Linked DNA regions of Arabidopsis thaliana. The protein of the gene in region 1 interacts with the protein of each later gene in a pairwise test. Each region holds a gene or a part of one and is shown on either strand. Other genes may lie near its edges.

Region 1 (5,381 bases):
TATTTTTGCCATTTTTGTTCCACAGATTGTATTTTATTTACCTACACATATTCAAAGTCTATGGGCCCTATATGGTAAAACAATGTTCTCCGGCCCACAATATATTTGAGCGGGTCTCCAAATGTTACGTGGAGAAACAACAGCCGCATGATGTGTCAATCCCAAACATCAGATTAACCGTCTCGGCGACCGGTTTAGCCTTTGGCAGTGTTCACCAAGCAAATGCGAATCAAAATCAAATCGCCTGCTTTTACTTTTCTTGCAATTTCAGTTCCAAATCGAATCATCATCAAAGTCAAGCAATTGTCAGAGAAGAGATCCAGAAGAACCTTAGACCAGTTCGTATAGTTGGGCATCAATCAATGGCTAGCAGCTGGAGAAGATCAATTGGAAACGTGAGATCTTTCATCGGTAATTCCATGGGAGGTCTTAGAGGTGGTCAGAGTGCCGCTTCTTGGGTCGTCGCCGGAACTATTGCTTACTTTCTCTGGATTAAGCCAGAACAAGATCTTAAAAAGGAACAAGAGGTACCAATTTTGATTTTTTTGCACATCCAAAAAAGTTTGTGTTTTTATTGAATCCTCTAGTCTCATTTCCACAGTTATCTCTGGTTTGATTTAGGCTAGGGCAGCTCTTGCAATGGCTGATACTAATCAATACGTTGAGAAGAGGAAACCAATCGCTGACCCTCAGGTAAATTTCCAACATTTATTAGTAGTTTAGTATTCATTTGTGGATTCTTCGTTTAGAGTATCAATGGTTTTTTCTTATGCTATTTGTAGGTTACTGGTTTGATATATGGAAACAAGAACGGAACTGATAAGTCAGAAGATTGAATTTTCTGTTAAGTTTGAACATTTGGTTGTAAGTTAGCTTCTACAGTTTTGTTCCTTATAGCTAATGATCATGTATAGACACTATAGTTGTAACTTACAACGAATAAAAGATGGAAACTTTTTTTGTTACCAAACCATCTCTGAAGGATTTTATGTGCATTGTGAGATTGAGTATGGATCTGAAACTTCGTTTTGACTCCAAACTTTCTATCATTTCCTTTTACTCTGTTCAATTTGGCACCAATTGGTTTCATGGTTAGTAACTTTTTTTTTGAAGTTTGCCAGTTTGGAACACCGATGCTGTAAACTTATATACGTCGGATTCGAAATTTTTTTACCCTTTAAATTGGTGAGATGCATCGACTTGCATCATTTCAGGTCCTTGCAATTATTCTGTGGTTGGTTTATGTTTGTGCTCTGCCACAAGGATGGGTGATTTTCTCGTGTCATATTAGAAAAGCATGTCTGTCTTGTTCTTTAGTTCGATCGTGAATGGAAAGCTTACTTCCCCGGGATATAACTTAGTTTTATATCATGTGATGGCGATTGACAATGGACCTCTGTTTTTTGTTGTGGATTATAGTATTGAAGTTATTGCCTCGACTCATTATTGGAGCTATATGCTTTAGTGTCCTTATCTTGGATGTTCTATGAGTTGGTCAGATGGATTTGGTTTGTTCTGCTTTGCGTCCTTAGATTCATCAGTTTGGTGTGCTTGTTGATGACTTGATGTAGTCTTCTAACCGAATTTGTATCCGTCGGAACCATATGTAATGCGTTGCAAGTTCTTTGGTAAACCTTTCATGACTTTGCTATCCAAAAGCCATGTTCATGGATCGCTTTAATAGTTGGCCCATTATTTTATCTAACTGTAGTTTGGTTATGATATAGGTTAATCTAGTTATACAGTTTTCATATCGAAACGATGAAACTAAATCTTCCGTATAGTAGGATGATGAGAAAATCGTGGTGCCGGTAAGAGTTTCCAACAGCATCATACCGCAAACCAAATGAATCTCTTTCCTTCTAGGAACAACGCCAACTTAGAAGTTTGAAAATTGTAGAGAAGATTATTTAGATTGACGAGAAATAGTCCATGACCATCTTTAAGTTGTTTATCACGTCGAGAATGGGTATGGGTTGAGTACCCGGAAGGAAAAACGGTAGCAACACGTATTGGCTGAGACAATGTGTCTCTTTCACATGAGATCCAAGAGACCAAGACCATCTTTATGTCCATGAGAGAGCTAACGTAGCTTAAGGGCATTTAGCATGATTAGTATTACTTAGTTCACTTTTGTATTCAGCTTAAGACTATTACTGAACAAATTTACTGACCTGGTCAACTTTCTAGAAGACGTACCAAAATCTCCTCTAATCCCACATATTATCATTTTGACGGTAGGACCAATGAGAAACGTCACAAAAAGTCAACACATACGACGCGTTTCCATTGACTAAATAAGTCTTCGCCGTCTCCTTTGGTTCATCATCGTCCTCTCTGTTTAAATCAGGAGAAAGCTCACGAGAATCCCTCTTCAGATCAGAACACCACAAAACATGGCTGCGTGTACACTCCACGCGCTCTCAGTCACCTTATTCCTCCTTCTCTTCTTTGCCGTGTCACCGGCGAAAGCTCAGCAACCGTACGTCAACAACCACCAGCTCGCCTGCGAGGTCCGTGTCTACGACAACATAACCAACGGATTCACATGTAACGGCCCACCTTCTTGCCGCTCATACCTCACTTTCTGGTCTCAACCACCGTACAACACGGCGGACTCAATCGCCAAACTCCTCAACGTCTCCGCCGCAGAGATCCAATCAATCAACAACCTCCCCACAGCCACCACCAGAATCCCAACCCGTGAATTAGTCGTGATCCCAGCTAACTGCTCCTGCTCCTCCTCCAGCGGAGGATTTTACCAACACAACGCCACTTACAATCTCTCCGGTAACAGAGGAGATGAAACCTATTTCTCAGTGGCTAACGATACTTACCAAGCTTTATCCACGTGTCAAGCCATGATGTCACAAAACCGTTACGGCGAGAGACAACTAACCCCCGGCTTAAACCTCCTTGTTCCTCTCCGATGTGCTTGTCCCACCGCCAAACAAACCACCGCCGGATTTAAATATCTCCTGACTTACTTAGTCGCCATGGGAGATAGTATCTCCGGCATCGCCGAGATGTTCAACAGCACATCCGCCGCCATAACCGAAGGTAACGAGCTTACATCAGACAATATCTTCTTCTTCACACCGGTTCTAGTTCCTCTCACAACTGAACCTACCAAAATCGTTATATCTCCGTCGCCTCCTCCTCCACCCGTTGTTGCTACGCCGCCTCAAACGCCAGTTGATCCTCCGGGATCTTCTTCTTCTCACAAATGGATCTACATCGGAATTGGAATCGGAGCTGGTTTGCTTCTCTTACTCTCAATCTTAGCTCTCTGCTTCTACAAACGAAGGTCTAAGAAGAAGTCATTACCGTCGTCGTTGCCGGAGGAGAACAAGCTCTTTGATTCATCAACCAAACAATCTATTCCCACAACAACAACGACTCAATGGTCAATAGATTTATCCAATTCATCAGAAGCTTTCGGTTTAAAATCCGCCATAGAATCTCTAACACTATACAGATTCAACGATCTTCAATCAGCTACTTCGAATTTCAGCGACGAAAACAGAATCAAAGGCTCTGTTTATCGCGCGACAATCAACGGCGACGATGCCGCTGTGAAAGTGATCAAAGGAGATGTTTCTTCCTCTGAGATCAATCTTTTGAAGAAGCTAAATCATTCTAATATCATCCGTCTCTCAGGTTTCTGTATCCGTGAAGGAACATCGTACCTCGTCTTCGAGTATTCAGAGAATGGATCGATCAGTGATTGGCTTCACTCGTCGGGCAAGAAGAGTTTGACATGGAAACAGAGAGTTGAAATAGCAAGGGATGTGGCAGAGGCGTTAGATTATCTCCATAACTATATAACTCCACCTCATATTCATAAGAACTTGGAATCAACAAACATACTTCTGGATTCTAATTTCAGAGCCAAGATTGCGAATTTCGGTGTTGCGAGGATTCTTGATGAAGGTGATCTTGATCTTCAGTTAACAAGACATGTTGAAGGAACACAAGGCTACTTAGCTCCAGAGTATGTGGAGAATGGAGTCATTACTTCGAAACTAGACGTGTTTGCTTTTGGAGTTGCGGTTCTTGAGCTTCTTTCGGGGAGAGAAGCAGTAACGATACATAAGAAGAAGGAAGGAGAAGAAGAAGTGGAGATGTTGTGTAAAGTGATAAACAGTGTGCTTGGAGGAGAGAATGTGAGAGAGAAGTTAAAAGAGTTTATGGATCCATCTCTAGGGAATGAGTATCCGTTGGAGCTGGCTTACACCATGGCTCAGCTTGCTAAGAGCTGTGTCGCAACTGATCTTAACTCGCGTCCATCTGTCACTCAGGTTCTAACCACGCTCTCAATGATCGTCTCCTCCTCCATCGATTGGGAGCCTTCTGATGACCTTCTTCGTTCCGGCTCTCTTGGCAACTAGTTCAGTTTTTTTTTTCTATTGGTAGTCAATAACAAGTATTTAGACTTTAGATAAGGACCATACGGCTAAAAAGTTGAGATCTAATAAGTACCCCACTGTGAAACATAGTAATAAGAACATATCATAGAGAAACTTTATTTAGATTTTGACATGTTGCTTCAGTAGTCTTTTGTATTTCAGAAAAAAATAATCATTTTCTTCCAATGAGAAGTAGAATCTTGAGGAGAAACAGATCCAAAATGATACAAGTAAACAAACATAACAATACCACTACACATAAAATGCTTATCAGAGAGAATCCTATCTAAGATTGGATAATTTCATCTAAATCAAAACAAGAAATTCTTTGTGTATAATCATAGTCACACCAGAAGGGACAAAGAATCTACTTTGTTCCTTTTCATGACCTTATTTATAGTTAGAAACATCAGAAGCTACCTATGTCTTGCCTAAGAACTGAATCACAATGACTAAGAACTAATTAGCTTTGAATTATTTGCTATTATCGAATGAATCATTGAGTCAATGATTTTAAGAATCTTTAGCTAAATCAATTATTGTCTTACGACAAAATAATAAAAACCAACGATGTTTTGTATGTCCAAGGTCTTGAGTAACTCTAATTTCTATTAAGTTCAATACATAACAAAAGAAAACACAAGTAATTTTCAAAAATATTGATCAAAGTCATTAATGAAATAGTAAAAGAGGACAAAACAGAATGAAAAATGATACATGTAATGTAGAAACAACTATACCTTTATAGACAAAATGCTTATCAGAGAGATTACAGCTATATTATGGTCATGAGAAATTCTTCACATCCGTCCCAAGTTTTTTCTGCTCAAACTCTTTAATCGTCTTCACTAGCTTCTTCATGTTGTCATCATACACATACGGAAGCTTATTGTACAATGTCACCTTCTTCTTGGCTGAATTTGGTAACATCTCTCTACAAAGCTCCTCATGCACAGTTATGGTGTTGTGGTA
Region 2 (3,804 bases), on another chromosome or scaffold:
CTGACGAACAGAGTTTTAATGTCTTCTCTGATGTTTTTTGTAATGACTGGTTCTTTGAACGCACAAGTGGCAGACATAAAAGCGATATGTGGAAAAGCGAAAAACCAATCCTTCTGTACGAGCTACATGAAATCCAACCCAAAGACCTCAGGTGCTGATCTTCAAACGCTTGCAAATATCACATTTGGTTCTGCACAAACAAGTGCATCAGAAGGTTTCAGGAAAATTCAATCTCTAGTCAAGACAGCAACCAACCCCACTATGAAGAAAGCATACACCTCATGTGTACAACATTATAAGAGTGCAATAAGCAGTCTCAATGATGCTAAGCAGAGCCTGGCGTCAGGCGATGGCAAAGGGTTGAACATTAAGGTTTCAGCAGCTATGGAAGGACCTTCAACATGTGAACAAGACATGGCGGATTTCAAAGTTGATCCTTCAGCTGTGAAGAACAGTGGTGATTTTCAGAATATTTGTGGCATTGTACTTGTCATCTCAAACATGATGTGAGAGTGGGATTGATTCAATCTCCCTTCATCATACTCATTAGACGATTACATTAAACAGTAATGCATAAATGTTACATATATAATCAAAGAACTTTTTTTCTCCAACCCACACATCAACAAGAACCTGGTTTCTTTTCAACTTGTTATTCCATATAACTCAACTCTATTGATAAAAGAAACTAAGAGACAACAACTAGTAATAGACTTATAACAAAGAGGAGTCTGAAATCAAACACTCTTAATAAACTCATGATCTTTTTACAGATCAAGTATAATACAACAGAAGGAAACAAACAAACAAACAAAAAAGAGAGAAATTCACAGAGAAACATGAGAACAATGCAGGAAAACTCAAAAGGAATATACTTTATTCAACATACAAGATGCATACCCGAGAAAAAGATCAATGATGAAAATGCTGCTACAAGATAATTAGAGAGAGACAGAGGTAGGCTTGTAGTCAATAACCAAAACTTTATCCAAGCTGCCAAGGAAGATGGTGGCGAATTCAACGTGAGCAGGATGAGCAATGTACTCTGCAACAGCTTCTTTACTCTCAAATGTGGATTCAAAGATGTGTGTGTAACCTTGATGCAGATTCTCAATGCTCACATCTTTTCCCCTAAAATTATACAGATCCAATAATTCAATAAGACAAGAGCAGATTCGTCGATTTAGTTGATTTAACTTTTCAAAAGATCATCAATGGAGATGGATTCTCTCTGAGGGAAATTAGATCAACACTAGGAAGGTCATGAATTTCCCCAAATTGCTTAGTTTTACATAATCATATTGAGTTGATGGAAGTGTTTTTCGGATCTCGAGCATATGTCTAACACTAGGAAGCAATTCAGAATCCAAATTTACTAACCAGTGGAAAGCTTTCATAGGTTCGATGAGATTGACGAGATTGGCGTAACCTTTGATGAGCTCTTCGATTTTCTCAGGACTAACCCCATCTTTGAAACTAGCAAGCAATACGTGCTTCACAGGTCCCTTTGCTTCCTCCATTTTTGATCCTTATCCCCTGCGAATGCAAATCTCCACTATTCCACTTATCAGCTCTCTAAAGTCTTAACTAAAAATGGACGGTCGAGATCTTTGATTAAAAGAGCGGATTTGCGACGTGCAAATACGATCGTCGGATTATTGTTTTCGTTCCAAAAAATTAAATAAAACGTCCTCAGATATAAACATTACCAGATGCTCCTGGTATACTCTGTATTGAATCTTCTTCTTTTTTTTTTCTTTTCTGTGCAAATTGAATTGAAGCTTTTTTAATTTATAAAGTGTTTGTAACAATTATGTTTACTTGATTAATCATGATAAGTGCGACAAAAAATGTATATAGAGATATTCTTACCACGGTGATAATAGAGTTGGACTGTCCAGCCGCACTTAACGCCGTTTTGCAGCCGTCCAAATAGCCTTTCTATAGAAATTGGTTAACACAAATCCATGAGATTGTTAGTGCATTTGAATCTTGTACATTCCGTCATATTGCCACAAACGCAAATCTGATCGCGCGTTCCATTTCTTGGGAGTGTGATTCAAGACAGAAGGTTTCAGTCTAAGTTTTACTTAGCACTTGGAGAGCCTTCATGACTTCACAATCAAGTGTCTAAGGAAAGTAAAGTTTAAATTTCATTTTGTATTTCTCGTTATTTTTCTGTCATTTTGTTTCTGTTTTAATAATTATCATATGACAAAAAAAAAAAAAAAAGGATATTCTTACCACTAAGTCACTAAAATGCATCTTTTTATAGAAGATATATGGTATGATGCAAATAAGTATCAAAATAATCATCTATGTTCTGTGTAACATGCATTAATTAAGCAAAATAATTTACAGCATTTAAGTTCCTCTTGAGACCAGTCTTATTTACCATTTCTTTTATTGAATTTTTAACCCAAGACTAACTCTCAGGAGCTTCCAAATAAAGACTTCCCTGTAATCACTTTTTTTTTTTTGTCACACTTTTTGAAAGCGAATACCCGAGAGCTGCAAATGAAACCCATTAGTCAAGTAATCTCTACTACATGTTCTCCTTCTAGATCCGTCTCTTAGATGCTTAGAGCCAACAAGCCTGCCTCAGTCTACAGGTTACCCGGTTTATACCATAACGAGGAATGCTAGAAAAAAGGGTGTCAATTTGGGGCCATTGAAGTCTGTGTTTAAGGCAGGAAGCTATTCCATCAGCTCAGATCAAAACCCGCTTCTGCGCTTATGGCGTACATCAATTTGGTCTCAAGTAGCTCTTTGCTGCATCATTAACAACAAGACATGCTTTATTTGCTTTTTCCAATTACAACACCAAGAGAAGCTATTTGGCAACAAAACAAGTCTCTTAGCTAAGCAAAACCAAAGAGTTTGTGTTATGAGAGGACAAACCTTTGATAGGGCGGAAGCTTAAGAAGATTCATACAAGTGGCTGATGTCGGTAGTCTATCAACTGATTCATTACTCGCACTACCGGCAGCCCTGATACACATTCCATCGAGGATGGATATTTTATGATTCTATTGTCCAGGGCCCATCAAAAGTCAAAACGATTGTGAGTCTGTGTATATTACCTCTGTATGCAGAATGCAGGTTCCAAGTATTTGAAACCCAGCAGTGGTCCTCGTGAGCAGCCTGTCACAAACCTGAAATTGAAAAATAGAGGTACCTCTTAGTTCCCTTAGAAAATTCATAGACTCCGGTAAATCATTGCGTACACAGACTGTAGTAGTAACTGCAAAGTTTGCTTACTTTAAGAACTTCTTCTGGTTTTCAGTTGAGAAGCTTTTCATAACTTCCCAGAACATATCGATCACATAATGTCCCTGTCAAGTGTCAACAACATAGCGATATAATCATATATAACAATACTCCAAAAGTGTCCCTACACTAATTCACAATGGCATTTCGGCTAACAGTGAAGAACCACTCACCGCGTGGTAGCCTCCAGCATAATTAGTGTTGTTTCGCAAGTCGTCTATATCCAAACTATCAACTGAACCAGATATGAGAACCTGCAACCAAAGCCCACAAAGGTAAAATTTCTCTCTTCATGCTCCTCGAGGGAACAACTAACAAAGCAAGTATAATTATACACTTAATTGGCACCTGAAGCTCATGTTCATTGAACATGTCGATCCATTCTTTCGGAATGAGTTGCTGAAACCCCCTCAAGAAATGAGAACTCTGCTGGCGTATCTGCAAATGAGATGATATCAATAGCTGTTGATTTACAGGGTGACCTCAGGTATGCCAAGATAAATGAGAGGTAAGTGGTTCCCCAGTACCTGAAAA

The links.
Region 2: the proteins of LYK5 (region 1) and HS1 interact in a protein complementation assay, tested with the Arabidopsis thaliana proteins (one large-scale study listed by BioGRID).

Annotation. Positions count from the first base shown.
Region 1 is NC_003071.7:14,218,858-14,224,238, reverse strand, and holds LYK5 (Protein kinase superfamily protein), read left to right. Parts: upstream 1-1,984; 5' UTR 1,985-2,396; coding exon 2,397-4,391; 3' UTR 4,392-4,758; downstream 4,759-5,381. Other genes in the region: AT2G33585 (subtilisin-like protease), read left to right, coding at 72-527, 622-693, 783-836; GALS1 (glycosyltransferase family protein (DUF23)), read right to left, coding at 5,196-5,381. UniProt on the Arabidopsis thaliana protein: May recognize microbe-derived N-acetylglucosamine (NAG)-containing ligands.
Region 2 is NC_003074.8:5,880,034-5,883,837, reverse strand, and holds HS1 (heat stable protein 1), read right to left. Parts: upstream 1,920-3,804; 5' UTR 1,873-1,919; intron 1,774-1,872; exon of another isoform or gene 1,762-1,773; 5' UTR 1,521-1,761; coding exon 1,381-1,520; intron 1,132-1,380; coding exon 942-1,131; 3' UTR 638-941; downstream 1-637. Other genes in the region: PMEI2 (pectin methylesterase inhibitor 2), read left to right, coding at 1-510; UPL6 (ubiquitin protein ligase 6), read right to left, coding at 2,706-2,772, 2,902-2,991, 3,084-3,155, 3,262-3,335, 3,444-3,524, 3,619-3,708, 3,798-3,804.